2 linked regions of the Nothobranchius furzeri genome follow. The protein of the gene in region 1 interacts with the protein of each later gene in a biochemical or structural test. Links are inferred from orthologs where the notes say so. Each region holds a gene or a part of one and is shown on either strand. Other genes may lie near its edges.

What was found.
Region 2: the proteins of rxfp3 (region 1) and rln3a form a complex in vitro, tested with the Homo sapiens proteins (2 studies listed by BioGRID, with this or other methods). The link is inferred for Nothobranchius furzeri from reciprocal best matches to the Homo sapiens genes RXFP3 and RLN3.

The regions. Positions count from the first base shown.
Region 1 is NC_091746.1:59,471,079-59,487,747, reverse strand, and holds rxfp3 (relaxin-3 receptor 1), read right to left. Parts: upstream 9,829-16,669; 5' UTR 9,621-9,828; coding exon 8,373-9,620; 3' UTR 4,966-8,372; downstream 1-4,965. UniProt on the Homo sapiens protein: Receptor for RNL3/relaxin-3. Binding of the ligand inhibit cAMP accumulation.
Region 2 is NC_091752.1:53,616,980-53,633,018, reverse strand, and holds rln3a (relaxin-3a), read right to left. Parts: upstream 14,378-16,039; 5' UTR 14,237-14,377; coding exon 14,077-14,236; intron 13,475-14,076; coding exon 13,188-13,474; 3' UTR 12,775-13,187; downstream 1-12,774. Other genes in the region: il12rb2l (interleukin 12 receptor, beta 2a, like), read right to left, coding at 1-58, 141-246, 755-821, 909-1,070, 2,587-2,730, 2,808-2,912, 3,043-3,231, 4,013-4,250 and 6 more. UniProt on the Homo sapiens protein: May play a role in neuropeptide signaling processes. Ligand for LGR7, RXFP3 and RXFP4.

The sequences.
Region 1 (16,669 bases):
GCAGCAGTCAGCTCAGGGTCTTCCATCATCTCACCAAAGTGCTTTTGGACACCATCCTGAATGGCTCTGAAGAGTGGCAGACACATCTTGGAGACAGTCTCCAGTCTGCTGAGTTTTTCTTTTAGCTGGAAGATCACTTGAGGGGCGGGACTAGGAAGCTCAAAAATGACCAATCAGAAAAAAGAAGGAAATCCCAACTGTACCACGACGCGGTAGATTTCTAGTTGTAGTAAAAAAATAGCATCTGGCAATGGCGCAAACATCTTTTATTTTTTATAAGAAATGCTTTTAGCGCTTCTACTTGTGGTTTTAAAGACATCTGTGTCATTTAGAACAGAGGAAAGAGCCACAGTGAACTCCACCACTGTCTTCGTTGTTTATGAGAAATTGAGCATCGCCGTGTATGACGTGAATTAAACAGGAGTCTGGCAGGCCAGGCTGTCTTTCTCGTACCATTAGCGCCTATTTTCTTCTCCTACCCATCGTTCATTGCACTGTAAGGTCACTGAACACATGCTTCACATTAAGAAGTTCAGCTCACCTGTTGACCGCTCAGACATCCCTTCATTCCTTCTCACAAGCTTTGATCTTAGGTGATCCTCCAGTCATCCAAATAGTCAGTTAGTGTTTCTTATCCTTTCCTTCGTACCCCGCAACACTCTCGTAACTTAAGCACTCAGTTCTTCTGGTGCGCGCCTTCAGCGTCCGCAGCACTTCCGTGTTTGGGTCTTACCAGTATAAACATATATACATACATAGACACTTCGTTAAACGCTGGATCACTCTCGAGTACGTTAAGACGCTTCTACATATGTATGTGTGTATACTCTCCTCTCTTCTCTGTGGTGTCTGAGTCTGAATCCAGTGCGAACCGTGCCGACACAGTATTTTGCAATGTTGTTTTTTTTTTTACTCGGTAACAGATAAGATAAAAACTGTAGCGAAGTACAATACTTACAAAAAACAATACTTAAGTAAAAGTAAAATTACAGATTTTAAAAACTGCTTAAAAAGTGTAAATGCGCAAAAAATCTACTCAGTTACTGTAATGCAAGTAAATGTAATTAGTTACTTCCCACCTCTGCATACGATGACACAATATACAAACAACTGGAAGGCGTCGCCATGGGTAACCCGATATCAGCCACCCTGTGAGAGTTTTTCATGGAAGACCTAGAACAAAAAGCTATAGCCACCGCTCCCCCAAACTGTAAAATAAAATTATGGAAACGCTACACAGACGACATACCGGAAATCATACCAAAAGGACAAACAGAAACACTAACACAACACTTGAATAACATTGACGACACAGGTAACATAAAGTTCACATGAGATGGAAACAGATGGCAGTGTAGCATTTATGGACATGAAAATAACCAGGCAGACCGACGGGACCCTAAACATAAATACATATAAGAAACCAACACACACAGACCAATATTTATTATGGACATCAGAACACCCCACCATACACAAAATGTCAGTAATCAGAACATTATATCACCGAGCAAACATGGTAACAGAAGGAGAGTGTAAACAGGAGAACAAACACATACAACAAGCTTTAAAGGCCTGGGGATACCCGACATGGGCAATAAACAAAGGAAAACAACAAACAACAAAAGAAAGAAAAGAACAACCAAAGCAAAGAACCAGAAACACAGAAAGACAAGAACCAAAACCAGTGATAACTCTACCATACATCAAAGGCATAACAGAAAAAATAAAAGCAACATTGAAAAAACACAACATAAACACACCAACAAAACCATACACAACAGTTAGAAACAGACTAGTACACCCAAAAGACAAGCTACCAGCTGGACTTAAATGTGGAGTCATTTATGAAATCCCATGCAAACTCTGCAATAAAACATACATAGGAGAAACCGGACGCCAACTCAACACACGAACAATAGAACATAGAAAGGAGTGCGAGAAAGAAACAAGTCGAAAACACAGAAGAGCAGCAAAACAAGAAGCAGAAAGCACAATAAAGAAGTCAGCCATAACAGATCACTGCACAAGAGAAAACCATATAATGGACTGGGACAACACAAGGATCATGAACAGCGAACAACAGAAATACAAAAGATGGATAAAGGAAGCAATCAAGATAAGGAGACGTGGATGTGAGACCATGAACAGAGACAATGGAGTTTAGTCAATGGATCGTGCATGGGACTGCATCATCGGAGAAGGGAGATTGGGCAGCAGAGGGCGACAACGTCCTCTGCTGCCCGCGGATAAACGGAGTAGGAAGTGACACCACCATCAGCGTAGCTCTGAGAGTGTTTTGGTCGGCAAACAAAACGTACGTCAGCAAAGTAAAGAAAAACCTTTCCTGTGTTTTAAAAAGAACCAAAAATGGAATTAGTAACCGTCAACCTTTGCTGGGGAGGTTCACAGCTGTGCGTGAATTGGCTGGGATGTGGTTCAGCACCTTTAAATCCAAGGTCATGATTCTGCAAATGCTGATTAAATACATCTTTAATATCTTTTGTATATTACTTAGCAATCAGAACTCCATGGTTGGCATTTTCTTGTGTGTAGATCTCAGAATTCATTTTCCACGATTATTACAGTTTTTTTTCGATTGCTAAAACACGTTTTTCAAAACTGTACGTTTCTTTCAAAACTGCACACACAAAACCCCAAACATAACACACAAATTGCTAAACCGTGGCTTCCCTTTGCAACAAAACCCTGCCATCACATATCGTAACATGTTCCCAAAATGGAACACGTGTTTTCATTTGGTAAACACAGCCACATTTTCACATGACACACACATACCATTCATTGCTTAAACACAGGTAGCCTTTGGGTGAACACTACCAAGCATGGAAAGAACACTGAAGAGCAAAACTGAAAACACAATTGTCTAAAGGGAACACAATGAATTACACACTGAATGTATGACAGTGCCCACTTTTCTCTGAGACAAACATTAGACATCACACAAATTTTGAGACAAAACATTTTATTTTTACAGTTACAGTAACCACCTCCACCCCCTCTCCCATTCAAGCATAATCATGGGGCATCATGCCTCTGGTCTCTGTCTGGCCAGAGGGCCTCATCAACATCACAGGCGATGTCCTCCTGGTCCAAACAGCGCTGGAAGTACTGCCTCGAATGCCTCATGAAGCCCTGACAGGCCTCAAAGGCCACATCTCCAAGCCTCCTCCATGGCTTGAAGCGGTGGGACCTGGCTCTGTGGATTCCTTTCGTACACCTTCCACCTCCAGACTGAGAAAAACTCCTCAATGGGATTGAGGAAGGGGGAATAAGGTGGAAGGTATAAAATGGAAAACCGTGGGTGGTCCTGAAACCGCTCATACACCTGGGTAGCCTTGTGGAAACTTACTTTTATGCTGCAGTCCCTGATTGCAAATTGCTCACCAGACATGAAAGTTTAGAGATTTGAATATTTGTGTGTTGTTGATTGAAGCTTTGAGAGTTTGTTTGACAAGTGTGTGTAAACGTGAAAATTGTGTGCTGTGCTTTGACAGCATGGTGATGTGAAATTGACATCAGAGTGTAAAGGAGGACAATCAGAGAGCTAATATGATAAGGCAATCTTAAGTAGTGATAAATGGAGTCAGGCGATTGGGAATTGAAGTAGAGGTTGTAAAATTCGTGCCTCATTTTTGATTTTTGAGTTTTAGCAATCGAAAAAAACTGTAAAAATTATATTTCAGTTCTATTCCATGATGGCATCAATTGGTGGATGAAATTAGTATCAGTCTATTTTCCAAACCTTCCAATCATCTCATCCTGTTGCTCCCTGTTTAACTTTAGGGAGGAGTTTCTTGTCCACTGGGTGTCCAGCTGCTCCTCTGTAATTATCTCCTGCTATAAAGCCTCAGTCTTCTCTGCCAGATGGTAGGCAAACTTTACATTTTCTGTCTCATTTAAGTTTTAAGTTTTCCAAGGAAACTTTTCAGCCCTTTTCCTCTTTTTCTGATGCAATGGCCTTACAGTTCCCTTTATCCTGGACCAAGGAGACACAGCTCAGCCTGTGCAGCGTCTTGGTAGAAGATTATCACTTCTCCTTGGGATGAGTCACCACTCACTGTTCTGTTTCCGTCCCTGTCAGTCTCAAAAATCCAGCTCCTTATCTAACCTGTTGTTTCTTTATCCGGGTTAGTTTCACCTCAGATGACTTAAGCCAAGTTTGAAGTGTTGCAATAACAAATATGCTGGATGTGGAGTTTGCTTCCTAGACATTATTATTACTAAATCACTGCAATTATATAAAGAACTTGAGACTAAGTTGTTGTTCTTTTATTATTATATAAAAACACATTACTGTAAGTCAATCTTGCTAGTCATCTGAAGCTCAGGAACTAGCCATGGATGTGAGCCTAGAATATTTAAAGAATTTGAGTTAGGGGTTTCCATAAGCTGTAAGAATAAGCATCACAATGATAAATAAAGGCTGACATATCTGGATTTGTATCTAATGAGTCTATCTCATAAATTAGTTTCACCTTTTAGGTTGAACTACTGAAATAAACTTTTACTTATATTTTTTAATTTCACCTGTTCTCATTACATTTCATATCCTAGCAAAAGGTCAAAGGTGAATGAGTATAACCCTACATGTCTTAGTTTAAAACTCGATCACAAAAGACAGCCGATGAGAAGTATTCCTTTAAGGAATTTTTTTTCCTTTATCAAATCCTGCTTTGTTTTAGCAGTTCTCAAAATGATTAAGAAAGCTGTAAATACCTTCAAAACAAACCCCTAAACTTTTTCTTTCATTATTAGAAGTTCAGTTCATTTTTTTAAAGAATTGCCAAGAAAAATTACATTCCTTAAAGTCATTCCACGACTTTCCTGTATAAACCGTTGGCTGTTATGATAAAACATTTCATTTCATATCATATAGGAGACACACACAGTGATATTTGGGAAGTGAAACAAAGTTTATAGGATTTACAGGAAGTGCCATTTTATTGATTCCAAAACCTTTAGAACTAATTATTGGAACTCAGAATTCATTTGTTATGAGAAAGCGTATTTAAGGGGAAATGGAAGGCCACAGGCACAGTTCAGGTTAAGGCTCCAAGTGGCAGAAGAAGAAAAATCTGGGATAAACAAAAGTGAAGAATGGTTAGAACAGTCAGAGTCTACCCACAGACCAGCATCAAAGACCTACAACATCATCCTGCTGCAGATGGAGTCTATGTGCATCGTTCAACTATTCGGTGCACTTCACACAAGGAGATGCTGTATGTGAGAGTCATGCAGAGGAACCCTTTTCTCCGCCCACAGCACAAACAGAGCTGCTTGAGGTTTGCTAAAGCACATTTGGACTAGCCAGCTTCATTTTGGAATAAGGTGCTGTGGACTGATAAAACTTAAACTGTCATTTGGGAATAACAAGGGGCGTTATGCATGGACGAGAAACACCTGCTACCTACAGTAAAACATGGTGGTGGTTCCATCATGCTGTGGGTTGTGTGACCAGTGCAGGGACTGGGAATCTTGTCAAAGTTGAGGGACACATGGATTCCACTCAATATCAGCAGATTCTGCATGTCCAGGGATCAGTGACAAAGCTGAAGCTGCACCGGGGCTGGATCTGTCAACAAGACAACCACCCTGAACACTGCTCATTATCTACTAAGGCATTCATGCAGAGGAAAAAGTAGAATGTTCTGGAATGACCATCTCAGTCCCCAGAGCTGAATATTATTGAGCATCTGTGGTGTGAAGGAAAGAGAGCTGTCCATGCTGGAAGCCATTAAACCTGAATGAACTGGAGCTGTTTTGTAAAGAACGGTCTAAAATACCTTCGACCAGAATCCAGACTCTCATTGGAAGCTATAGGAAGGGGGGCTGTTATTTTTGTTAAAGAAGGATTTACTGAATACTGAGTTCATTTGTTTTCTAATTTATGCACCTGACTAATTTTGTTTAAACAATTATTGCACACTTTCTGTAAAAACTCATAAACTTTGCTTCACTTCTCAAGTATCACTGTGTATATGATGTATTTAAGTGAACATTTTTATCGTATCAACCAACGATGTGTACAGGAAAATCAGGAAGATTAACAAGGCTGCCCTAAGTTTTGATCCTACTGTATGTCAAAAACACAGAATATACCTTTTGCACGCCGGAGAATGGACCAGCAGGTTTCGCTGATGTCAGAAAATCTAATGCACAAGAAGACAAAGAAAAATGGGGTGATGGTGGGAGCTACAGGACACTATTCTCTTCATTAAAGTCTGGATCAGAATGAAGGTACCTTTCTTTGCCCCTCGTTATACAGCATCTCTGCTCTCAGGCTCCAAATGTGATCCTTCGCCTCACAAGGCTTGTTCTCACCCCTGACAACGTGTAATAGCTCACTGCGACTCTGGCAGTGACAGCTGCAGCATCTGAAACCACCGCGTTTGAGTGTTTCTCACTTCTAAGCGGCAACGCTTCCTTTCCGGAGGGGAAACAAAAACAAGCAGGATCGCGTATGAAACAGAACAAAGGAGAAGTTTTATTAAAGATTTATTTTTCTGTTGTTTCTCAACATTTCTGACAAATAAAGCCTCCTCATCAGCACAGTCAGAAGGGTGAACATCAGTAAATCCCCTGAAGAAAATTCACTCTGGAATCTGAATTCCTAATCCTAATTTTGATTTAGGCTGTTCAATCCCACAAAAGGGGGTTCCTTGGGGGGGCTGGATTGATGTGACATTCATCACCCACATGACAGATTGCTCTGTTGTATCAATTTATTAGCCTGGTCCTGTACCTGTACACACACACACACACACACACACACACACACACACACACACACACACACACACACACACACACACACACACACACACACACACACACACACACACACACACACACACACACACACCGTCTCCCTCATTTCTCTCTAATTAAATTAACCTTGCTTTCATGTGCCAAAGAACAATCAAAGCTGTTTTCCTTTGCACTGCTTGTTTGGGTTTTACAGGAGGGTCAATGATGAGTTTCTGAATCCAAGCTGACATTTATTTGTGTTTCTATTTGGTGACTTTGTCTCTCAAAAACACTCAGATAGAGCAAATTAGCTTTTAACTAAACACACACTGACATATTTAAATTCCATAATTTTGCTGCATTCGCTTTGGATCTTCAACCAGTTTTTCTTCTATGGGCAAAATAAATGCTGATTAATCAAGCATGGATGCATAGAATGTAACTGAGTCACAGAAAATATACCATCTGTAATTTGTAGATTATTATTAAGTTGCCCGGGGTTTATTTAGAGTTGTTCATGCCTTTAAAAAGAAAAGGATGCAAGTGATGCAAACATGAATGTGAGTTCTTCCTCCTGCACAGCTCAGATCAAATTCTGACTTCTGTTATTATTTTTTTATTTCTACTGAATTCCTGCTTTGTCTCAGTTAATAAAAGATGACACATTTTACATAAGTCAAATAACTATTTGTGTTTAACTTCATTTTGAAATATTATTTGCATGACCAGTGATGGACTGACAAGTCCAGGATGTATTTGTTTGTTTGGCCAGACAGCGGATAGGCGCCAGCCCTGCCCGGATGAGCGGGTGTAAAGGATGCATTTACATCTTTGTAGGTTAATTATTAAACAAAAGGTTTTGAATAATTATCCTTTTTTTTTTTCAATTAATTTTCCAAATGTGTTATTTGACCTTTCAGCCAGAAGGTCAGCTGAAATTCATTTAATTCCTGTAATTTCTTAAACATCCTTTGAGCAAAAACTAAATAAAAAATAAATCCAAATGGAGAACATTAGACTGCTGTATGTTAAAATCCTTAGTTTATGTTATATAGGCTTTATTTGCCCAAATTAGAATGAAAAATAAAAATATTATAACTATATGCCCCAAAACAAATTCAAGCACAGGAAGGAAGCTATCCTGCTTGCACAATAGCGTCTTTTTTCAGTCCAACTCTTTATTTGAAATAACAGCTTTTGAAACCTCAGCTGTCTTGTTGAGATGTGTGACCAACCATCAGTCTTCTGTGGAACTGGCCTCGTTTTAAATCTGGAACATGAAATTCTTCAACAGGGAATGTCATCCTGATCAAAGAGGAGAACCAGCAGGTGTCCAACATTCCACTGACAGCTTTACTAAACATTTGTGACATTTTTGAATGAACAGCACATTAAAAAAAACAGAGTGGGTGTTTTAGCTGCTTCTAGTGAACAAAAGACAAACTAAGTGTTGAAAGTTTGGATGTGTTCATTATGTGAACAAATAGGAGCTTGGTGATTGATCCAACATTGTTTTCTCTTTAATTTTCGTTAAAATGTATTTCACTTGGACTGGTGCGCATAATTCCCCATCAGCGCAGCTGCCAGGTCTTCACATGGCGCTAAGTGCTGTTCTGCGGTAGGTCTCGCCTGTCGTTATAAATGACAGCCCCCGGGGGATAAAACACCACGTCCAGCGCCGCCGGTGCGTTACCGACCCCGAGCGCGTGTCCGCGCTCGTCCAGCTCCGGCTTTATTGAGGCAGTGATTGGTCTTAAGGTGGTCACAGATGGAGAGGTCATGCGCCAGAAGAGATTCTTCAGCGCCTTTCTGAACTCCCGTCTCATCAGGCAGTACAGGATGGGGTTCAGGCAGCTGTTGGAGTGCGCCAGGCACACGGACACGGGGAACACAAACACCTGCATGGTGTAGTACTCATAGGTGAAATGCACCGCGTTCAGTTTGATGAGGATGCCCCAGGCAGTGAGCGCCTGGTTGGGCAGCCAGCACAGGAAAAAGGACAGAACCACAATGGTGACAGACCTGGTGACCTTGGCGCGCCGCTTTGCGCTCGATGTGTTGATGTTTTTGTTGGTGATGAACCGCAAAAGCTGCAGATAACACACGCAGATAACCCCCAGCGGCACCAAAAAGCCCAGCAGCACTTTCTGCGAGTGGTAGAGTCCCAGCCAGAACTGCGCCGAGCCGTTTGTTTCTGGGAATTTGACGAGGCACAGGTCCTCGTTGGAAAAGGTCGCGGTGGTGGAGAAAACCGCGTGCGGCAGCGCGGCAGAGACGGCGGAGAACCAGATGAGCACAGAGACGCAGCGCGCGGACGAACAGTGCGTCCTCCGCCGCCTTCCTTTGAGCGCAGAGGCGAGGGAGCAGTACCTCGCCACGCTCATGGCCGTGAGAAAAAACACGCTGGCGTACATGTTCATGGCTGTCACGTAGGATACTATCTTGCACATGGCTTTGCCGAAGGGCCAGGTGAAGTCCAGCGCGTTCTCCACTGCCCAGAACGGCAGTGTCAGGACGAACTGGAAGTCGGTCACCGCCAAACCTGTCACGAAAAGGTTGATGGAGGATTTTCTCCACATCTGTTTGGACTTCATCAAGTACAAAACCAGTAAGTTCCCCACCAGACCAAGAGCACAGACCAGGGAGTAAATGACGGAGATAGTAATCCTCACGACAGCAGCGCCATCTCCAACAAATTCAGCTTTCCCAAAGTCTGACATGTGGAAGTCCCGGTGCGAGCAGTTGGTGCTGTTGAAAACGCAGCTGGAGTTGAAGGATGGAGAAAGGACCGTCCCGGAGGAGCCTTCCTCATTTCTGTCACTAAATTCTCCTGACATGTTATCTTTCATCCATCAAACATATTTAGCGAAGTCACGCCAACCAGTTCACTTTCCGGGAAAACAAAAATCCGTGTTGGTAAAAAATAAAACAACCTTTACACACACACACACACACACACACACACACACACTTCAGGCGTTAACTTGTTCATTTAGATTAATGAAATGCTGCCGGAGAAGAGACGGAGCTGATCTTCAGGTCATCACTCTGAGCTTTTGAGTGTGTCTCCAAAACTGAGAAGCGAAAAAAAAAAAAAAAGCTCCTGACGCAGCGCTCCGGCGCAACCTGGCGCTCCTTGGCTGAGGCGCCACGAGGGAGCAAACAGCCGCATCAATAATCATTTCTAATGTCATCAGCTGTCATTGTGAGGCTTTTAGGAAACCATTGATGATGTTGTGCTGGAATTTCTGTTTTTAAATCCACTTGACTCGCTCCCTCTCTCTCCCTCCCTTCTCCAATCCTCCCCAGCGTCTTCCGAGCGCGTGCACGTATACACGCATGGCATGCATATTTTTAAAGAGTTTTAAATGACCTAAGAATACATTTTGATTCACAGAAAGTAACTGTTCTGGTTCTACTGGATTTAAGTGCTGCCTTTGATACAGTGGACCACAACATTCTTTTAACCCGGTTAAAACACATCTGCCTCTCCAGGGGCGGATTTAGGACTGAAAAAGATCCGGGGCGTAACACACGCGCGCGCACGTGCGTGCACATACACACGTAACACGCACTTAGTCTTTTCATAAAACATTCGGGGCTTGAGCCCAAGTAGCCGGGCCTAACGCCGCCCCTGGTGCCATCCATAAATGGTTTACTTTGTGTCTCACAGACGGGACATTTATGATAAGTCTAGATACCTTCTGTTCTAAGACCCCTGAGATTACATGTGGTGTGCCCCAGGGTTCGATTTTCAGCCCAGTGTTTTTTAATCTGTATATGCTTGTGCTTCCACTTGGTGATGTCATCGGACTACACAGAGTACAATTTCACAGTTATGCAGATGATACACAGATGTACATCTCTGTGTCTCCCGATGACGCACAACCATTTGATGCCCTTTTTAATTGCATTTCGAATATTGAATCCTGGATGGCAGAAAACTTTCTCCAGTTTAACCTGGACAAAACCGAAGTCTTCTCAAGTGAAGAACCTGGGTGTGATTTTTGATTCTGAGCTAACTTTTATCCCCACCATTAAGAACATTGCAAAAATTGGTTTTTATCACCTGAAAAACATCGCCAGAGTCCGCCTCTTTCTCTCTCTGGCCGATACAGAGACGCTGATGCATGCTTTGATCACCAATAGAATTGATTACTGTAATGCCCTGCTATCTTGTCTTCCCAAATAGAGTACCTCAGGTTTACAACTCCTGCAAAATTCAGCAGCTGGTGTCCTGACGAAGACCAGGAGGCAGGAGCACGTTGCACGTGTCTTAAACAAGCTACATTGGATTCCTGTATGTTTCAGGATCGATTTTGAGGTTCTTTTAATCTTTTTAAATGTCTTAATAGTCTTGGGCCTTCTTATCTCTCAGACGTGCTTCATAAATACGAGCCTTCGCGGTCCCTGCGCTCCTCTGACAGCCATCTCCTCGTCATTCCAAAAGTCAGAACACACTCCCAAGGCGAGGCATCCTTCCAGTTTTATGGCGCTCACCTCTGGATCAGTCTGCCAGAGGACCTCAGGGCCATAGAGAGTGTACTTGTTTTTAAGACCAGGATCAAGACTCACCTTTTTAGTACAGCGATAGTTCAGTGATTTTGATCTATTTTAGCCTGTTTTACCATCTTTTATGTATTTTATTAGTGTTTTACTTAAATGACGCATATTTTCTTATATATTTTTTTAACTTGTAATAATTATTAGTTTTAACCAGTATTAATAATCTGTTGTACAATATTTTTATATATTTAATTATATGTTTCTGCTTGGTTATCTTTTATCTGTGTGTTTTATTTAGATTTTTATTCATCAGCTGTTTATGTTTAATTTGTTTCTTAACTTGTTATCTTAGTCTCATTAGTAAACCAGTGTTTCCTCTGTGGGGGCCGGCTGACCCAGGGGCAGCGGTTGGCTGTGGTGGTTGGGGTGCTTCTCGTGCCTCCTCTTGCCCAGGCTACTGCTACCGATCCTGCTGCTCCCGGTGCAGTCTTGATTTATTCCTACTACATCTACACTCAGCCAGCAGCCCTTTCTCTTTTACGTGTGTGTGTGTGTGTGTGTGTGTGTGTGTGTGTGTGTGTGTGTGTGTGTGTGTGTGTGTGTGTGTGTGTGTGTGTGTGTGTGTGTGTGTGTGCTTGGGATGGGATTGAGTGTGGGAGGAGGGAAATACAAAGCGGATCCTGTATGTGAATCTGTGTGGGAGGAGTGGGAAACCGACTGCTGTCTGGTTGTTGTTAATATTGTAAAGCGCTTTGAGCTGCATTCTTATGAAAAGCGCTTCATAAATAAATTTGATTTGATTTGATATGTCATGGCATCATCAGGGAAAGGTGAAACCAAGAGAACTCCCATGGGGACTTGAATCAGCATTTGCTTAAAGTTAACCAGTTAAGCATAAATCTAATTTTTTTGTATTAATAAAGTCACCTTGAAATGTACGTTTGTCTGACAGCTGTGGTGGGATCATCAAGCCTGAAAAACGAGAGGCTGGGGGACTCTGAAATTTGTCTGGATTTTTATAGGCTCAGTGCATGCAGCAGAGCAGCTGTTCTCCATATTTTTGGCAGAAGTCTTTGCTTTATTTCCCAACTTCAGCACAGAAGTGTGTATAATCCACACTCCCTTACAAATAAACAGCTGAAGCAAAGATTTTTCATTTAAAGCTGTGGTTTTCAAACTTTTTTATAGGACCCCCTTGCCTGTGTCCAAGACTAGCCAGGAACCCCAAACACAACTCCTACACGCACACGTGATCATTTACAAACTTTAAGCTAACTTATAGCTTTTTATGGAGTTTTGATGTGTTATTGGGATTGTATAAATGTAATAAAAAATACATCTCACTAACCTGACAACCACAGCACAGACTATTTTGTGGGGATCCCTTGGGTCTTGGATACCCAACATCAACAGGTGCATGAAAACGTTTCAAGGCACATTTGCTTGTTTCTGGTGTGCATTCAAATTAAATGGTGAAATGGTAAATGGCCCGTATTTAATATAGTGCCTTCTAGAGCCCTCGAGCCCCCCAAGGTGCTTTACAACACAATCAGTCATTCACCCATTCACACACACATTCACACATTTTTTCTGAGAATTTCTGGTTATTTCTGTCTTTTCAGGTCAAGAGGATTTAGTTTGACAGTAAATGTGATTTGTCTAAGTGTCTTGTCAGCTGATGAGGGAATGCTGAGCCAACAAACAGATGGAGAGGATGGAAATGCTGTAACCTTGGGCTGAGGATGGTGAGTGCCATCTTTAATGTCTGTAGGAGTGCACAAGAGCAAGACGTTATGGTGGAAACTTTTGCAGGATTTAAAGTGAAACATATGTGTTTTGTGCAGTTTGATCTAAAATGAGGTCTCAAGAAAGGTTTGACAGGAATAATTGGTGGTTGTGCACAGCCGAATGTGGTATTTTCTTATCTACAACTGCTTAAAGGGACCATATCATGGGAAATCAACTTTTTGGAGCTTTTTACAATGTGTTATTGACATTTCCTCATTAAAATTACCCCGAAACCTGTTTTGGCTGCAATCATACTCCTGTTCCTGTCTCAGCCACAAGCCTCGATGGAAATCAAGGACATCATTATGCCCTGCTCCTCCCCTGAAGCTAGGCTGCAATCTGGAACCCACCTTTCTTGGAAGTAGTCAGTAATGCCCACTTTCTCCGAGTTGCAGGCATAGAGTGGTTGATTTCGTGCTGCAGTTTAGAATGTGACCTTTGTGTTACATGACTGCTTTAAACCTCCACTTGTACCAGAGTGGATGTTCTGACAAATGACTTCTTCATTAGGGACAAAACACTGCTGTAAAAAACATGCATCCTGTCCACAGTGAATGGCTAGGACAGAACATGTGTTTAACACTTTGTAAGAGACTTGGTAGCCCAGTGGTTAGAGTACCTATGTTTCATGGTGTCTTACACCGGTTTGACTCCCAGTTTCAGCAGTAACATTTTTTCTTATTTCCTAGCTACACCTGCCAGCTTTTTAAACAGTTTAAAATATAATAACAATTTAAATTTTTATTTTTTTTTACTTTCTTTGTGTGAGTCCATGTGACGTGAGCAGAGTATCAACTACAATACTGCTTGGAAATAACTAAATTCAAAGATCTTTAAAGACACTAAATATTTTGCAGAAAATAATCAATAAAACTAAAACATTTTTTAAAAATGGAACCTGCTTCAGCTGGCTAAATAAATTACTACCCACACCAGGAGTCGAACTGGCATGAGGACACAGCAAAAGATGAAAGGCAGTTGCTTTAACTGCTAGACTACCAAGGACAACACAACAGTTGGTTTGCCCAAGACACCATTGTAGGTGTGTTTGGTTGGAATGGGTGTGACTGGAGCTTTACTGAAACAGACCACTTCATTTCTGAGTATAAATTTAGGCTGATTAAAATAACTCATATTTAAGATAAAATGACATCTCAATCATGCCAACAATAAGATTTCATTATATACTCTGCCTACCTTTGCTCTCAAAGGCTTTAAATAACATGATCTGGCCCTTTTAAGAATATTTTAGCCTCCTCATCTTAATAAAAATCCTTAAAATTATATACATTTGTTTTGTAACTAGCTGCTAATAGCTCCAGCTGTAGATTGTTGAGTTACTTGTGTTGACCACAGATAATTAAATATATTTGTCGTTTTGGTAGTGAAATAGTTTACCTGCAGTCATTTAAAGTAGTATAATTTATTTTGAAGAAATCCACAGGAAGTGTTGCTGAGTTATGTCTAGTTTAGCATTATGAACGCTGCCTGTAATAACAGTTTTGTCCCTGCAGAGGGCGGACAAATCCGTAACCTCAAAAACCAGAGGATTTAATTATTGGTATTCCATCCAGTTGGCCTGTCAAACCAAATGTCAGATTACAAGTGATTAAAGCAGAAAATGGAATCTAGCACTAGTAAGTGAGCACTATATAACTAAATTAAATGAAATAGAATTGAATTTTGAAGAGCAACATAGTTCAGAACCTCACTGATTTTTTTCTTGGAAAACACAAAAACTCTTCAGACTCCTTCTGTCTTTTACAAATCTCTGTCTTAATTATTAAACAGAATTTTCAACCAGTCTCATGTCAACAAGGTAGTTGAAGTGAATACAACTTCTTGATTTTCTATTAAGATGATGCATACTCTGTTCTCATGTGTTTTGTTTGTGTTTCATACTTTGCTGGTTTATTTCCTCCAAAGTGCTGACATGCTTCAGTTCTCCTGCTGGATTTGGCTGAATGACTTACGCTGATATGTACGATTATTAAAGTCACCTGCAGAAAAGCAAGATTTTTCATTAATATAACGAAATGCTAAATGATAAAACTGCACTCATGTTTGCATTTCATCATCAGTTTTCTGACTTTTAATTAAAGGATTGTGAATGCATGTAGAATATCCGTAATAATTTGTCTATTATTCATCCTGTGTTAGTTTAACTTTACAAGACATACCAATGCATGATGAATGCAAGACCTATTTCCTCTCTGTGTGATGTTTTAACTAAATACAGTGGGATAGGAGAATTTCGGCAGCCTTGTTAATTTTCATAACTTTTCTTTATAAATCGTTGGTTGTTATGACAAAAAATGGCAATTAAATATATCATATAGGAGGCACACACAGTGATATTTGATAAGGGAAACAATGTTTATAGGATTAACAAAAAGTGCAATGATTGTTTAAACAAAATTAGGCAGGTGCATAAATTTGGGCACTGCTGTCATTTTAATGATTCCAAAACCTGTAGAACTAGTTATTGGAACTCAAAATTGGTTTGGTGGAAATAACAGCCTCTAAACTCTTCGTATAGCTTCCAATGAGAGTCTGAATTCTGGCCGAAGGTATTTTAGACCATTCTTCTTTACAAAACATCTCTAGTGTATTCAAGTTTGATGCCCCTGAGCATGGACAGCTCTCTTTATCTCACACCACAGATGTTCAATAATATTCAGGTCTGGGAACTGAGATGGTCATTCTAGAACATTCACTTGTTCCTCTGCATGAAGGCCTTAGTAGATGTTTAGCAGTGTTTATGGTCGTTGTCTTGTTGACAGATCCAGCCCCAGTGCAGCTTCAGCTTTGTCACTGATTCCTGGACTTTGGTCTCCAGAATCTACTGATATTGAGTGGAATCCATGAGTCCCTCAATAACAAGATTCCCAGTCCCTGCACTGGCCACACAACCCACAGCATGATGGAACCACCACCATGTTTTACTGTAGATAGGTGTTTTTCGTCCATGCATAACGCCCCTTGTTATTCACAAATGGCTCAGTTTTACTGTTATCAGTCCACAGCACCTTATTCCAAAATGAAGCTGGCTTGTTCAAATGTGCTTTAGCAAACCTCAAACAGCTCTGTTTGTGCTGTGGGCGGAGAAAAGGGTTCCTCTGCATGACTCTCACATACAGCATCTCCTTGTGTGAAGTGCACCGAATAGTTGAACGATGCACATAGACTCCATCTGCAGCAGGATGATGTTGTAGGTCTTTGATGCTGGTCTGTGGGTAGACTCTGACTGTTCTAACCATTCTTCACTTTTGTTTATCCCAGATTTTTCTTCTTCTGCCACTTGGAGCCTTAACCTGAACTGTGCCTGTGGTCTTCCATTTCCTCAATACGTTCCTAACTGTGGAAGCAGACAGCTGAAATATCTGAGACAGCTTTCTGTATCCTTCCCCTAAACCATGATGGTGAACAATCTGTTTTCAGGTCATGTGAGAGTTGTTCTGAGACCCCATGTTGCTACTCTTCAGAGAAAATTAGAAGAGGAGGGAAACACATTTGGCCCCCTAAATACTCATTCTCATAATTTGATTCCCCTGTGTATGGAGTCAAGGGTCACTGAGCTTATCAAACCTATTTTTAGTTCCAA
Region 2 (16,039 bases), on another chromosome or scaffold:
ATATCTTGGGACTGGGCTCATAGAGGGGAATGCAGATCCAATTCAAGGGCTCACTGATCTAGAGAGCGATAATTTAAAAAAGTACATTTATTGAGTTTAGATTAGAAATGATCTAACAAAAGGATTTTGAAGATTCTCACCTGATGCCTCATGTGTTTAAAGATGTGGCTGTTGCTAGGATCGGGCACTTTTTCATACAGACACTGAGGCAGAACAGGACACACTTTTCTCGGTCCTCTGGTCACACTGCAGCAGACACAAGACAGAGACCATTAGTCGAAGAGGCCATTTCAAAATAAAACAAGCAATTATCAAATATGGCTGATTCAATAATCCAGCCTTGTTCTATGAGAGAGAAATTCTGTTTAGTTTTTGTTTTCCCCATTTACAATCTTCAGCTGCTCACCTGTAGCTGATTTTTTAACTTGTACAGGATGAAGAGAACTCTGGCTTCCATCTCACCCACAAACTACGTTTCGAATTATTTTATTTGTTTTCGAGTCTTTTATCAGTTCTGCCCCTCCTACTTCTGATCTCCTGCAGCCACCTCAGTCTCTGAGATGTACAATGACCTTTGACCCAGTGTGAGACACTGATTATGGCCTCATCTTAAATAGTTTTACACCTTTGTGCTCATATATTTCTTTCATCAGTTTGTTTTCATCTTGGTTCTTATGAACGGCACTTTGGTCAGCCTTTGTTTTTACCAAATACATCAAACCACTCAGAGACAAGTTTAGGTTGATTTTCTTACCAAAGTGCAACAAAAATAATTGTGACCAACAGAAACCCAACGGGCACCAGGGTGTGGATCACATGACCTGAAGAAAAAACGCATTAAACAGATTCTATCAGCATTTAAAACCATTATTATAACTGAACACATTCCATTCATGATGATGTCATACCCAAGTCTTCCACATGCTTGGTTTTTAAAGTCGTGGTGACGTTTGGGCCGGGCCCAGCAGCAGTCACAGCTCGAATCCAAACCTTGTACTTCCTGCCTGGACTAAGACCGGGAAGCTTGTAGGTCATTGTTCCATGATCTGGAGTCACGCTCACGTTGTACACTAGAGGAGAAATGTCGTCTGGTGAGATGAACACATTTACTTCTGCAGCCATTTGAGAAAAACACAGGTTTGCTGCGTTTGCCCTTTTTGGTTAATTATACCTATAGATTATATTAAATCCGCCAAATTGATTTCTTGATTTTTTTTTCTGATACAGATTACATAAAGTGGCTGTGGTTGACAAAGTAAATGCAGTGTCTCAGAAAATTACAAAAGGTCAATAGGAATATTTTAAACACACATTTCGGGACTCTGAAGGGTTTGATTCCATGCATCAATAAGTGGTCGGGTCTCCTTTTGCATGAATTACTGCATCAGTGCAGCATGGAGGCCACCAGCCTGGGTTAGGGTCAGCATAACCCATCAGCCTGTGCTTCTGCTGAGGTGTGATGGAAGCCCAGGTGCTTTTAATAGCAGCCTCTAGGTCATCTCCATGGTTTGGTCTGGTGTCTCATCCTCCTCCATAGATTCCCCATCGGCAGTTCAGGTCAGACCAGTTGGCAGCCAATCCAGCCCAGTGACACCAGAATCATGGATCCAGCTTCTGGTACCTTTGGTGGTGTGGGCAGGTGCCAAGTCCTGCTGGACAATGAAACCAGAATCTCCATAAAGCCTGTCAGGGGAAGGAAGCACGAAGAGCTCTAAAATGTCCTGTTGGATGTCTGCGTTGACTCTGGACTTCAGAAGACGGCGAGGACCACCAGCAGCAGACGACATTATCACGGACCGTGGAAACTTCACACGGACTTCCAGCAACAAGGATCCCGTTCCTCTCCACTCCCCCTCTATACTCAGGGTGGGACTTTGATTTGCAACAGACCTGCACACTTTACTTTGACCTAAAAAGAGGACTTTAGACCACCAACCAGCTGTTGTTCTCAGCACAGGTAGAAGATGTTTCTGACGTGTCTGGTTCAGGAGTAAACCGACACCAGGAATGAGACACCTGTAGCCCGTGTGTAGGACTAGTCTGTGCGTACAGGCTCTTGGTGCTCAGACTTCAGCACCCGTCCACTCCTGGAGACGCTCCTCCACATTCCTGAATGGCTTTATCTTCACCATCCTCTCAGGGCTGCGGTTCTCCCTGCTGGTGCACATTCTCCTTCCACTCAACTTTCTATGAACACGCTCGGATGCAACCCTCCCTAACAAGCAACTTCTTCAGCAAGGAGCTTCCGAGGGTTCCTCTCAGGGTGGACACTTCTGGACACGTGTCCAGTCACTCATCTTCTCCATCGGCCCAGGCAGACCAGGAGGCTCAGGAAACGTTTGCAGGTGTTTCAGGTGGGTTTCCAATATTCAACATATTTCACAATATTTAAATTTTCTGAGACACAGATTTTGGTTTTTCCTTTTCTGTAAGCCATAAACACAGAAATAAATGAAGCAAAGGCTTGAAATATTGAACTCAGCGTGTAATAAATCTATTTATGAGTTTTTTCCCTTGAAATGAGAAAAAATATTGAACTTTTTCCACAATATTCACATTTTTTAGATGCATCTGTAACTTCTGTACCTGTTTGAGTTCCTGCGTGTTCTACCCCTATTTGGTAGTGCAAGATCTTCCCGTTCCGCTTGGAGCAGGAAACAGGCTCCCAGAACAGAGTCACATCAGTGGCAGCAATAACAGAAACGTTAAACGACGGCACCGCAGAGGGAACTGATGGGAAACCAGAGAAGAGCAGACATGAAAATGGACTTATACCAGCTGAAAGGGCTTTCGTGGATCTCACTGACCTCCTTGAACAGAATACGAGACGGCTGTTGAAATCAGACGGATCTGGTTTGAATCCGACACGACAAACAACGACACCTGGTATGACGTGTACTTTTTAAACACCCCTACAGGTGGAGACACAAGCAATAGTAAAACAACAAGTCTGAAACCGCCAAACACCTTTTATCAGTATTTAAACTAAGAGGTGACTTATTTGTCTAACAAAGCATCGTCTCATCTAGAAACAACGCAGACCTTTAAAAGAAACGGTCCTCCGGCTCTTGTCCACTTTGATCCAGTCCAAGCCTCGGCCAGGCCAACACTCCCTGTATTGCACCACATAATGTTTCACATTGTCGGGGAAGTGGGGGGGCAGCGTCCACGACACAGTGAGGTTCTCTTCAGTCATCTGAAGGTCAATAATCTGATCATCTGTGTGTTCACCTTGGAGGAAGACAAAACGTTTTAGTGCCATTAAAAGAGTTTTATTACAAATGGCCAAAGAAAAGTCTTCACCAACAACAAACTGCTCTTTCTCCGTTTTTAACTCATTCACTGCCAACGACGACTGAACTCGGAACGAGCCCCCGCACCGTGAGAACAAACATCCCATCTCTAAAGCAGAGCTTCATCTGCGTACGTCACACGTCACGTGATCAGGAAGCAGAAAATCCATGTGTTAGGAGATCGTTTTGGGCCGCTGCTGTAAAAAAGAAAAAGTGAGGTGCGAACCGGAAAAGCTTCTGTTGATCACAATTCAACAACGGATAACGCTCGAAACGCGTGGATTCTTCCTGATGTAAGAGGTGAGTCTCCGCTTTGTTTTGGTTGTTTTGGCGTCGACATCATCCCAGCGTGCAACGTTCTGTGACTCTTAAAAAAACAGTAAAAACGCTGGCTGTGAAGGGCTTTTCTGATCAGGAAACGGCTGGCAGTGAATGACTTCACGGAAACGTTCTTCTCTGAAGAGTTGTTTTGTTTACTGCTGTGCTGCTTTAACTCCTGTTAGATCATCTTTTTCTTATATGAATGCATGACAGAGCGTGTTGTGTCTGATGTCTGAATGACTTGTACACATTGATCAGGTCTTTAGTCTGATGTCAGTCATGTCAGCTGTTGAAACTTTACAACCAGTTTTCTGCTACTTTTATCCAGAAGATGAATTGTGATCCGGGTCTTTGACCCAAAGATTTCCATACTTGTATGGATTCTGAAAGCTTGCTACCTGGTTCTGGTACGACCAGATGAGAAGCGTTTCCGGTACCAATGGAGTTGTAGGCTGATACATAAACGGATGACACGCGCTTCAGAGACGAGGTTAGGTACCACTTCATCTCATCATACGCCCAGACGCTGCTTGGGTCCACCGTGGACACGTTGATGTGCTTCACAGTGCCGTTACTGTAGGAAACTGTCACTTGGTATCCCAGGATGAATCCTCGCGCCTCAGAAATAGAAAGATTCTAGATGAGGAAGATTTAGAGCGGCATGAGTCTGTGTTAGCAGGAAACATTCTTTAGTTTTGGTTTTTACATTTACCTTCCAGGTCAGAAAACAATCAAAGCTTGAGAAGGGAGTGACACAGTCCATCCATACGTCCACCTCTCCAACTGGAGCTGAAAACAAGACAAGTGGACAGAAAAATGGCTTCAGAAGTGAACTGAGAGCAACACAATCCATGCTGAAGGAAAGGCCGCTATTCCTGCCACTATAGTACCAGGAAACTCAAATGTGGGTCCAATCAATGTCTAAAGAAATGGTTAACTAAAAAAAGCAGTAATTTCTTGTATAAAATAATAAAACAGCTGTATAAGCTCTGCGGTCAGAACTCATTTATAATCATATGAATATGGATCTAAATCCTATAAAGCCTCACCTGCTTCTGCACTTCTTATTCTGTAGATTTCGCTCCAGTCACTCACCAGACTGGAGTCACAGGCACAACGGACCTGAAACTCATATTCTGAGCCAGGCCGGGGATCTGGGACTTCAAAGCTGTTATGTAACCCATCTTCATACTGAGCCTAAGAACACGACACGCGTTTACATTCATTCACTCATTTAATACTGCAGCACTTTTCCCTTTATTGTAAACAGGTGACGCGTACAGCGTGAGAGATGTAAAAACACACGAAAGGAAACACTGAAACAGACCTGAGGCCAGCCTTGGTCATCCTCAGCACGATACCTGACTTCACACGTCCCTTGGCTCGGCTGCAGCACACAGGCAACACTCCAGGTAACCTCTAATGAACCCTGATGGTTGGATAAAAACAAAGGAGGGGGCGGTTTCTCTGGAGGGGCAGAAAAACAGAGACAACAATCAGACACCTACAAGTCATACATCCAAAATATTACGCAGGCCAAAGTTAATACTTTACAGATGAAGTGGCAACATTTTATTACAGTTGTCAGCCATTATGGTTCTGAGTTGTCTTTAATGCACCTGAAACTACTTTAGTTTAGTGTTCCCATAAAGAAATGCACGAAAGGGACTTTATGGAGTTTTGAATTTTTATGCTCGTGATTGCCCCCTCAGGCCAAAACCGTAACAGCAGCTTCAATAGTAGGCTCGTGCACGAGGCGAGCATGCTGTACGTGCACACTCCTTAACGAAAATAACAGCTGAGACAGTCCTGTGTGTGTGTGTGTGTGTGTGTGTGTGTGTGTGTGTGTGTGTGTGTGTGTGTGTGTGTGTGTGTGTGTGCGTGTGCGTGTGTGTGTGTGGCCCGGAGGACAGAGGACAGGAGAACGTGCAGCTAACTAATTAAATAATTTGGTTCTGTACCTTTCTCTTCAGCACAGCCGACAAAGGTTTAAGATGGGTCAGTCCTCCTGCATGCTCAGATCATTCCCTTCCCTTGCTTGAAAAATTGTTCCAAAATGAAAGTTGAACCCACATCTTTTTTATCTGTGAATTCAACGCCGTTAGGCGAGTCTCAAATAAAAATTTGGGCATCTTACTGTAAAAAAATATACCATTAATGTAATAAATAAATTCTAAATAAATTATGTTCACATCCAGAATCGAACCCGGATCTTCTGCATGAGAGTCTGACATTTTACTAAGTGAGCTACAGTGCCAATAATGTCTTATGTATCTGTAACTTTTAGATTCTTGATGACAGCTGAAACAACGTTCAAAGAACGGTTCAAAGCAAAAATGGCTATTTCGTTGCTAATTTGCAGGAAATATCTAGAAGAAAGTAGCTAAGGGTCCTCAGAAATGTAGCTAGGTTCATCACTAGGCGTTAGGAACAGCGACAAAGTCGCTGAGTTGGCACTACCTCACTCCCTGCTGCTAAAGCTATGGATAGCAAATGCTACGGGCTATGCCTGAGCGTGAACGTGCATGAAGCAGCCTGCTCGACCCGAGCAGCTCTCTTTTTCTGTGATTTTACAGAAAAACAGGCAATCACAGTAAAAATGCCAGGGCTCATTCTACAGGACCAGGGCATTGCAGGAGGATGTATGAAGAAGAAATTTATTATTTCTATACATGTTTTGGGTGTCAAACTTCCATAATGCCCCTTTAAACTTGCACTGCCCCATGACGCAAGCTCCCACTAGCTTAACCAGCTAATGTGCTCATCTAAAAATAGCCCCCTTTCACAACATACTGAATGTGTCCGGTTCCGCTTACGCCAACATCATACACAAAATGCTGAACACCAACTAGAAATTCACGAAAATTTTATAGAAATAAAAGAATCTTGTTTATTGGGTCTTTGGTACTTTAAGACCTTTGGAAACTGTATTTAAGAATTATTTGTAATTTTTAAGGATTTTTAAGGCCTTAAATTTGGAAAAGTAAATTTAAGACTTTTTAAGGACCCGTGGATACCCTGTAAAGCCTTTAAATAAAAAAGCTACTATCTCATCACATTTTAGCCAAATCTTTGTAAATGTGACTAGAGCTATTTTGGTGTTTTCATTAGATATTTTATTATTGAACACTCATACATGACTGAAGATCTTTTGCTTTTTGGTGATAATGAATAAATGTTCTGGGCTGACTCACTGATAGCCTCTGTGTCGATGAGAGCATCCTGAGATTTGGCAGAACCGTTCTGGTTTTGAGCCTGGACCCAAACACGAAGTTCTCCATGGCTACGGAAGTTTTCACGATGGATTAACCCATCGTAGCTCCTCCCCCCTTTAATGTTATCATCACTGGAAAAAAGGCACAAGGCTAAATAAGATTAGAAGAAACTTAAAGCAAGATCTCTGTTAAGAAATGGGCTTTACTCTGTGTTTGTTGGCTCCCAGTGAAGGCTGTAGTTAGTGGAGTGGTCAGATTCTGGATCTGGAGTCCAAACACAACGTATAACAGAACAGCTGTGTGAACTACAAGGTCTGTAGCACTCGGGTTCAGACGGAGGAGCAGGGGGACCTAAAAGACCAAGAGAAGCAGCACATTTTTCATATTTTCCCAAAATTTTACCAAAAGTGGAATTATTGCAGACAGAAGGAGTCACAAAAACAGAATATTTCTGAAGCTCTATTGTGAAAATAAATATAATCACATAAATATTGTTCCTTTTGATTATCTACAGCTTGGGCTACGTTCACACTGCAACCAAGCTAAAGTGGCCCAAACCAGTAGTCCGGTAAGCCATCCTGTACATGTACACATGGTCTGGCTACAACACACAGTCATTGCTTGCTCTTTCAAACTGTCTCAGTGCTAGGACCAATTACAGCAGCGATGTCCAAACTGTTCAAGACAAGGGCCAAAACAGTCACGGCAAGAATGTGATTTTCTTAATTTACAAAATTCAAACATTATTTTATATTAATTTTTATTTGTACTCTTCAAAATAAATCCAAAATAGGCTTATAAGTAAAAATCTAAACATAAGTATGTTACAAAGCGGCAATAAACATCCTATTGAAGAGACAAAATTCATCATTCTAGAGGGCTAAAAATGGCCCCCGGGCCGCATTTTGGTCATGCCTGAATTAGAGCAACAAGAAGTGAGACGCACTCCTCGCTGCAGAACTCAGTCAACGGAGCAAATATAGTTTTTCAAAATAAAACTTCCTCTATCTGCTCATGTCTCAAAGAAAAGCTCAAATCGAAATTGTTCAGAGTTGATGCCAAAGCCGTTTCAAAACAGCACAGTCACTGAGCAGACGCCATCTTTGTAGGTTTCACTGACGTGCCAAACCCACCTAACGTCTCTCTACAAACATTAAGTGCTGTGATTGGCCAGACCTAAACTTGTTCGGGGCAATGGTAGACCTAGAATAGAGTGTAGCTAGACTGACCTGCTACGGTATGTTTAGATTTCTAGGCTATCAAGCCAGATTTACTTGCCCACATGTGTCCCTTGTTTGATACTTTTAGGATCATCTGAACAACACAAATCTTTTTTCCTCCTCACAAATAAGACTAATGGCTGCATGGTGGCGCAGTGGTTAGCACTGTTGCCTCGCAGCACGAAGGTTGCAGGTTCGAAACTCTGCTCGGCTGCGGCCTTTCTGTGTGGAGTTGCGTGTTCTCCCCATGCATGCGTGGGTTTCCTCCGGGTACTCCGGTTTCCCACAGATATCACAACATGCCCTATAGGTTATAAATTGTGAGTTGCTTTGGATAAAAGCGTCTGCTAAATGAATAAATGAAATAAATGAACTAAACTCACTTTCATGTGTGGCAGTCGTGTGACCAAGTCTGCTTTGCAAGTCACAAGTAGGTCATGTTTCTGTTTATGTATTTAGCAGATGCTTTTGTCCAAAGCGACTTACAAGTTATAATCGGCATGTTGCCCTTGAGGCTAACAACAACAATAATAACAACAACAACAAACAATTTCCAGTCAGTGGTAGGTGGCAGTGAGGCAGCGCGATGAATCATGAAGAGGAGAGAACAAGGAGTGGACAGTAGAGGGGGGGATGGGTGCAAGGAAGTTGCTAGTTAAAAAGATGCTCTCTGAAGAGCAGGGTCTTCAGGAGTTTCTTGAAAGTCGAAAAGGAAGCCCCTGTTCTTGTAGTGCTTGGTAGGTAATTCCACATTTGTGGAACAATGTTAAGAGTCTGGATTGTCCTGAGCGTGGTGTAGGCACTGCTAGCCGATGATCCTGTGATGACCGGAGCGGCCAGGCTGAGATGTAAGCCTTTGCAAGAGGATTCAGTTAGATGGGAGCTGTACCATCTCGGACTTTGTATGCTAGTGTTAGCAATTTGAATTTGATGCGTGCTGCTAGCAGTAGCCAGTGGAGCTCAATGAACAGAGGAGTGACGTGTGCTCTTTTTGGATGATTGAAGACCAGATGCGCTGCTGCGTTCTGGACCATTTGAAGAGGTCTCACAGTACAGGCTGGAAGACCAGTTAGAAGGGCATTACAGTAATCGAGGCGGGAGATGACAGTAGATTTCACCAGGAGCTGGGTGGCATGTTGTGTTAGGTATGGTCTGATCTTTCGTATGTTATATAGCGCAAAGCTGCATGAACGAGCAACAGAGGTAACATGATCTTTAAAGGTCAGGTGTTTATCAATCACAACACCCAGATTTCGAACTACCTTTGAAGGAGCCAGAGATAGGAAGTCATTTTGGATTGAAATATTGTGCTGCATGGATGGTTTTGCTGGGATGACGAGTAGTTCAGTTTTAGAGAGGTTGAGTTGGAGATGGTGGGATTTCATCCATTTTGATATGTCAGAGAGACAGTTTGATATTCGTGCAGAGACAGTGTGGTCGTCTGGTGGAAATGACAGATAGAGCTGGGTGTCGTCTGCATAGCAGTGGTAGGAGAAGCCATGTGATCGAATGATCTCACCCAGTGAGGTAGTGTATATGGCAAAGAGAAGAGGTCCTAGTACAGAGCCCTGGGGGACACCTGTGGCAAGATGGTGCACAGCAGAGGATTGTCCAAGCCAAGATACACTGAATAATCGTTCTGTGAGGTACGATTCAAACCAGGCATGTGCTTTCTCTGTGATGCCCATGCTAGAGTGTGTGGACAAAAAGAAGCCATGGTTGACAGTGTCAAATGCAGCCGATAAGTCGAGGAGGATAAGCACCGAGGATTTGGCAGTCGCTCTAGCTTCTTTTAAAGATTCCGTCACTGCTAACAGCAGTTTCAGTGGAGTGGCTCTTTTTGAACCCAGATTGGTAAGGGTCAAGCAGACAGTTTTGTGAGAGGTATTCTGTGATCTGCTTGAAAGCCTCCATTTCAATGACTTTGGACAGAAAAGGGAGGAGAGAGAGATAGGTTGGTAGTTCTCCACATGATTTGTAGGAGGAGATGTTTTTTTTAGCAGCAATTTAACCTGAGCATGCTTGAGAGGGGTGGGAAATGTACCGGATGTCAGTGAAGCGTTGATTACATGTGTGACTGCTGCGGCTACTGTAGGAGCAATAGCTTGGAGCAGCTTAGTCGGAATGGGGTAGAGTGGGCATGTAGTAGGGCGGCTGCACGTGAGAAGCTTGGACACACAGTTCTCAGTGACAGGGGAAAAAGAGGAAAATGAAGCAGTAGGGCTTGAGATGGATGGACTAGAATCCGTCATTCTCCGTTTTCATGTGTTGTAAAACCCCCAACCTATCAGGGGGTGAGTGGGCATGGCCAGCTTATTGTCTTGAAGTGATATAACTCTGAAACGGTTCATTGTGGAAGGTACTGAAAATGTCAAAAATAAAACTGCTGAAATGGGTTTATGTGAGATGATTGTTTGCAAAAAAAAGTTTTATATCAACCATAGAACAATAACTTTTAAAAAAGTATAGGTCTCATTTAACCACAAATAACAAAAAACAGCAAAGGGTTTTATATTCAGTAACACTCATCTACCTGTCCCTGCACACAAAAACACTTTTTTTAAAAAAAAATTCAATATCACAGCCCTGCCACCTTACCCATTTCTCATAAACCTACGCTCTGGTTGAATAGCTGCAAAGCAGACTTTACAAGAAGGCGCAATGTGAGTAATGGTAACAGGAAATATGCAGCTTGTCTGTATGAGTGTACTCCTCTCTAAAGACCACTTCCTTTTCACTACATTCAAAGTAAACTGTAAGCATCTACATAAAAATGTTTTTAGAATGATTAATTGAATATTTGGTGTGCAACTTTAATAAAACAGTAAGTTTGACGTTGTCAGGCGTTTAAATATCTGATGCAATAAATGGAAGCTTGTTGCTGTAAAATGCATATAGCTCTTTGTAATTAAATGGTTGAAAGGCACCTGCTCTTGAGGATTTGGTTCTGATCTGATGAACTTTTTACATAAACCAGGATTAATTGTTAGCAACAGAAGTTGTAGAGTGTTATGCTTGTTAAAGTTTATAATGTTACCTGTAAAGGCACCACATGGGACATTTTAAACGTGACTAAACTAGCTTCTAGGTGAACATCAGACCTACCAGAGGAAGGATAACCAGACGGTAGGATGACCAGCAAGACGGGCAGCAGCCACCTCCTCGTAGGTGTGGCCATTACATTTGTGTCTGTAAACAACAGAAAAGACAAAGAAAACATGTAGCCGCGTTCTAGACAATAATAAACAACGTCTAGAGAGCGAAAAGGAAACAAGTTGGAAGCTTCTGAGTATTAAAAACCAGCTTAATGAAGCGTCTGCATCCATCAGAAAGTTTATGATTCACAAGCTCACGCGCTGGTTGTCAACAGGTCGCAACAGTGTTGCTAAACCGAAAACATAAGTAGTCAGACAATTAGCTTTAACTTTGGTAGGATTACGTGATGAGCACAAAAGATTTACCTCATTGCGAGACAAATAGAGACACAACTGTGAAACTAACGCTGCCTTCTCTGCTCGTGCCCGTTGTGAGCTTTTAGCCCCGCCCACTCCAGGAAATGCCGCTGACGCATGCGCGTGCCTGTATTCTTTGATGCTGCAGATTCTGTACTCTAGCTTCCCGCACGTCTTGAACGTGCTTTTGCAGCACAGGCGTGCTTGTTTTCACCATCATTTCACTGAGCTATCATTTAAAAACATAAATAGACTAAACGGATGACGTACACTGGCACTGAAACCGTGTTAATGAGTACAAACAATAGTTACGCTTTCAAGTTTTACTTTCATTTAGTCACGTAAAACGTGTGATCAGTCATCTCCACCTTTCTTTATGCCTGTTTAAAGGGAGAATATTAGAACGTACCGTACGAGTTGTTAAATGATCATTGCTTCAGTTTTTCTGTGTACTTAGCTTTCTAGTCATTTTCAGATGACTTATGTTTTCCAAGCCAGAAAAACATTGACCGTTCAGACATGAAATGCTTCTAAATCAAACCACTGTTGAGTCAGTTTATGACACAACTACTTGCCTGTCACAAAGACATTTCTTTATCTATGAAAAATACCCCAAATAAACAGTGTGAAAGGTAAAATCATATTTTAGAACAAAAACTGATTTCTAAAGTGTTAACCTGAATAAATGATGTGCAGTCTTTAAAAACTAAGTCAGGTGAGTCCAAAGTGTGGTTTGGGGGCCATTTGCGGCCCTCACTAGCAATTTTAGAATTGTGGAAGTCTCCCCAGGAGACTGTTGATATCAGCGCCTTGGGCTTCCTGACAGGGTTGCGGAAGGCGCTTTATGAATAAAGCTTTGATTGATTGATTGATTGATTGACATAAATTCATATATTTTAATATTTTCAGTTATAAATTTGCATTCCTAAAAAATGTACATTTTTGTGGCCCATGAGGAGTTTTAACTTTATGATTCTGGCCTTCTTGTAAGTTTGGACATCCCTGCTGTAGGTTATACTGACTCAGTGCATGTATCTAGTCCTATTTCAATTACTAACTGCAGAATTCTATGGATCAAGTTAAAAATAGAAAAAATGCTGATTGTTATTTCTCAAATTGTTATAATAAAGATGTAAATATTTCAAATTAAAGCTCTGTGAACTAAGTTGATAAAAATGAAATCTAAAATTGTAAGAATCCAGTATCCTTAAATGAAGATCAGGGATTTGTGAGGTTACATTTTTAAAATGAGGTAAAAAGACACAGAAACATGTTTGTAAGATTTTTACAGTTTTGTGACAGTTTTATTGTTGTTGATTTGAATTTATAAGCATTCTCTCTTACATGAAACAATAGAAAAATAAAATAAAAAATGTTTGCAATCAATAATGGTAGACCTAGAACAGGAGTGACTTTATGCCGCAGTTTTAACAAACATTTATGACATCAAGGTTTTAACAGTTGCAGCAGCAATGGAATTTAATTGGTTTGAAGTCAAAATACACTTTTTAGTGATATTCATCCATCAGCGGAAGAAATTTGACCCAAAATCCTTAAAGATTCACTCATAAAAAAAAGACTGATTTAGGTTCTGTAGAAGTCAAAATAAACGTCCATGTTTGTTGCATGATGAAGTATTGGTGTAAAAATATCATCTGCAAGCACACAGATTTCCAAAGCCAACCCTCAGCAAAGAGAGCTGATCTCACTTTTGCTGCAGCCCCACTTGCAGCAGGCGTTAGACAGCCCCACCACCACATCCCGACCTTTGCGGTCAGCTTTACGAAGAGCCTCCAGGATCTCGTCAGTGATGAAAGAGCGTGTCGACCTGCTGAAAACCCCCTCCTGGTTGTTTCTGGGTGTAAAGCTGAGATCTTTGTTCCTCTGGAGGAGACTTTCCACTGAAAAACTGGGATTCAAACCCTCTGAAGAATCGTCCTGATGGGAACTGAACGGGTCCTCTGGAACATCTGCTGGAGTGGAAAAATGAAAAATCAAACACTGCAGAATTATTTTTTATAACAAATTTAATAACTGGTCGATGTATACTGTTGTTAAAACATTATAAAAATGGCACGAGAGAAAAAGTGAACATAAAATCCTTTTATACAGAGTTTTGAGGAAACAGCAGCTCAGATTTTGAAAGTGGGAAGTGACTGGGTTAGTGTCAAACATAAAGTCCCTTAATTTGAGGAAGTTATTTCAAATCTTAACTGAGCCACTACAAAAAAAAGGTAAAAAATTGATCATTTGCATTGTTTCTTTGTGAGAAGAAAGTCCTATAATTAGTCTCCACTAGCGTTTTTAAATTTATTTTGTATTGTTTTGGTAGAAAATCGAGCAAAAATGTGTACTTTTTGACAGCTAGCAGCCCAACAACATGTGCTGTGTTAGTTCACAAAGCATAGGTGGGAAAGAAATTACTTTAACACAATGAACATACACATTTTAACCACTTTTAAAATAAATAGCAAGAAAAGAAAAGACTATTACTTAGGCATGTGCGGGGTGCGTGGGGGGGCTGCTATTGTAAATTTGACACATCACACCTGAACAGCATATTCTGTCTTCTTACCTGGACCCCTGAGTGATCGTTTCCACCGTGAACCTCCACAGGTGAAGATAACAGCTCGAATGAACTCTCGGCCACACAGCTTCACACCGTACGTCGGATCCTCCATGGGCTGAGCCTCAGCCACAATCAGACACATGGCCAGAACCACAGCTTTCCACATGCTGCAACAAGCAAATGCAATAGACTAATATTCTAACAAGGAAAAGGTAATTTGCTTCAGTCTCCCTGCTTGCCTGAGCTGTGACTCTGCAGGTGACCCAGTGGTGGTTTATAAAGGAGTTTGGAGACATGCATGGCAGACGCTCACACTGCGCATGCAGGCCTTTCCTGCAAAGAGAGAGATTTTAAAGACAGATATGATGAGAGACCTTTATGCAAACAAAAGGCAGAGCAAAAGCGTATACATGTCGATGAGCAAAAGTGGCCTAATCAACAAATGTGTTCCAGTGTGACGTATAATAGTCACCTTTAGTTGTCCTGAATATTTCTTCAGATACATCAAAACCCTAATAAATAAAATGTTCTGAAATCATCAAAACTAACATAAAAATACACGAGCAAAACTTAGAAAAAATATGTAAAATAATATTTTTTTAGGTAAATTCCTTGACAAAATTACATTTAAATTTACTATTTATAATTGGTCCCAAATACACATGATTTAAATGTCGACTTGCTTAATTTCTAAGAATTAAAAACGTGATTAATATTTAAAACAAAAATCATACAAAAAGATTAGCAACATAAATTAATTTAAAAGCTAAAGATAATTTGACCATTATAAGATTTACTACCACTCTGAGTTTAGCATCCTTCATTTACACCTGACCCTAAATGGCTTGAGACAGTTCCGTTTCCCTTTCCTCTCTCTCTTTTGTTAGCCCTTTGCCAAAAGGTGAACAGGAGGGGCTGAGACAGGTCCTGTGACATTTTCAGAAACAGATAACATAGAAACCCCATTATGAGTCACTAAAACAGAAAACACATTTTTATCTATCCACATAGTCAAAGGTCACTCGTTTAGGAAATTACAATAAAGATGGTGAATCTGTAATGAATGCAAGGATAAAAAAAGCAAACTAAATGGCATTTTGGTAGGGTGGTCACTCTGACACTCATTAGCATATTGCCACATAGGTCATTGTGGCAATATAAAATTTAATCAATTGTACTTTTATTAATATAAATGTAATATAATTTGAAATCATTTGCAACTAATGTTAAAGTTTTTAATTATCAGTCTTTGGTTTTCTGTTGCGTCCCAACTCACTTAAGTTGCTCCTTAGGGCAGTGGTGCCCAAAGGTGGGGTCAGGACCTCACTGTGTGTCCAGAAACACCAAATATGAGGTCCTGTTGTCTCTAAAAATCTAAATTAAATGTTAAAATGGTTCACAACGACACATTTTGCCATGATTCTCACAGGGAACTGAAATAACACAACAAATGGTTATTTGATTGTAAGGCTTGTTTGTCTTGAAAAAAAAAACAGCTTGGAATTTAAGGAGTAGAATAATTATGATTTTGCAGAAATTTCAGGGGATAAACATCCTGCAAAAACGTATAATTTAACTGTTTTTTAAAGTCTTTTCCCTGTCTTTCCAATCATTTTATGTCCTGTTAAGTGCCACAACTCTCACTGCCTACGAATTGTGATGTTGAGCTTTAGAAGTTTCTTTGAAGGTTAAACATCCCTACCAACTGTCCACTTCCCTGATAAGGACATATCTACTGTTTTACTGATTAAACATCCACTAAACTTGTGGAAAATACAAATGGGTGTGGAAGACTTAAAAAAAAAGGGGGGACACTGTGACTTTAAGACATATCGGCAGCACTCAGCCAATCAGCGTAGGGAAGGAGGAGGGAAGGGAGCGGGTGGGTAGCAACAGTTGCCCTGGTGAGGACGAAGCGCCATAGCCACGGTAGCCCTGGCGACCAGAACCCAGCAACGAGAATCAACAA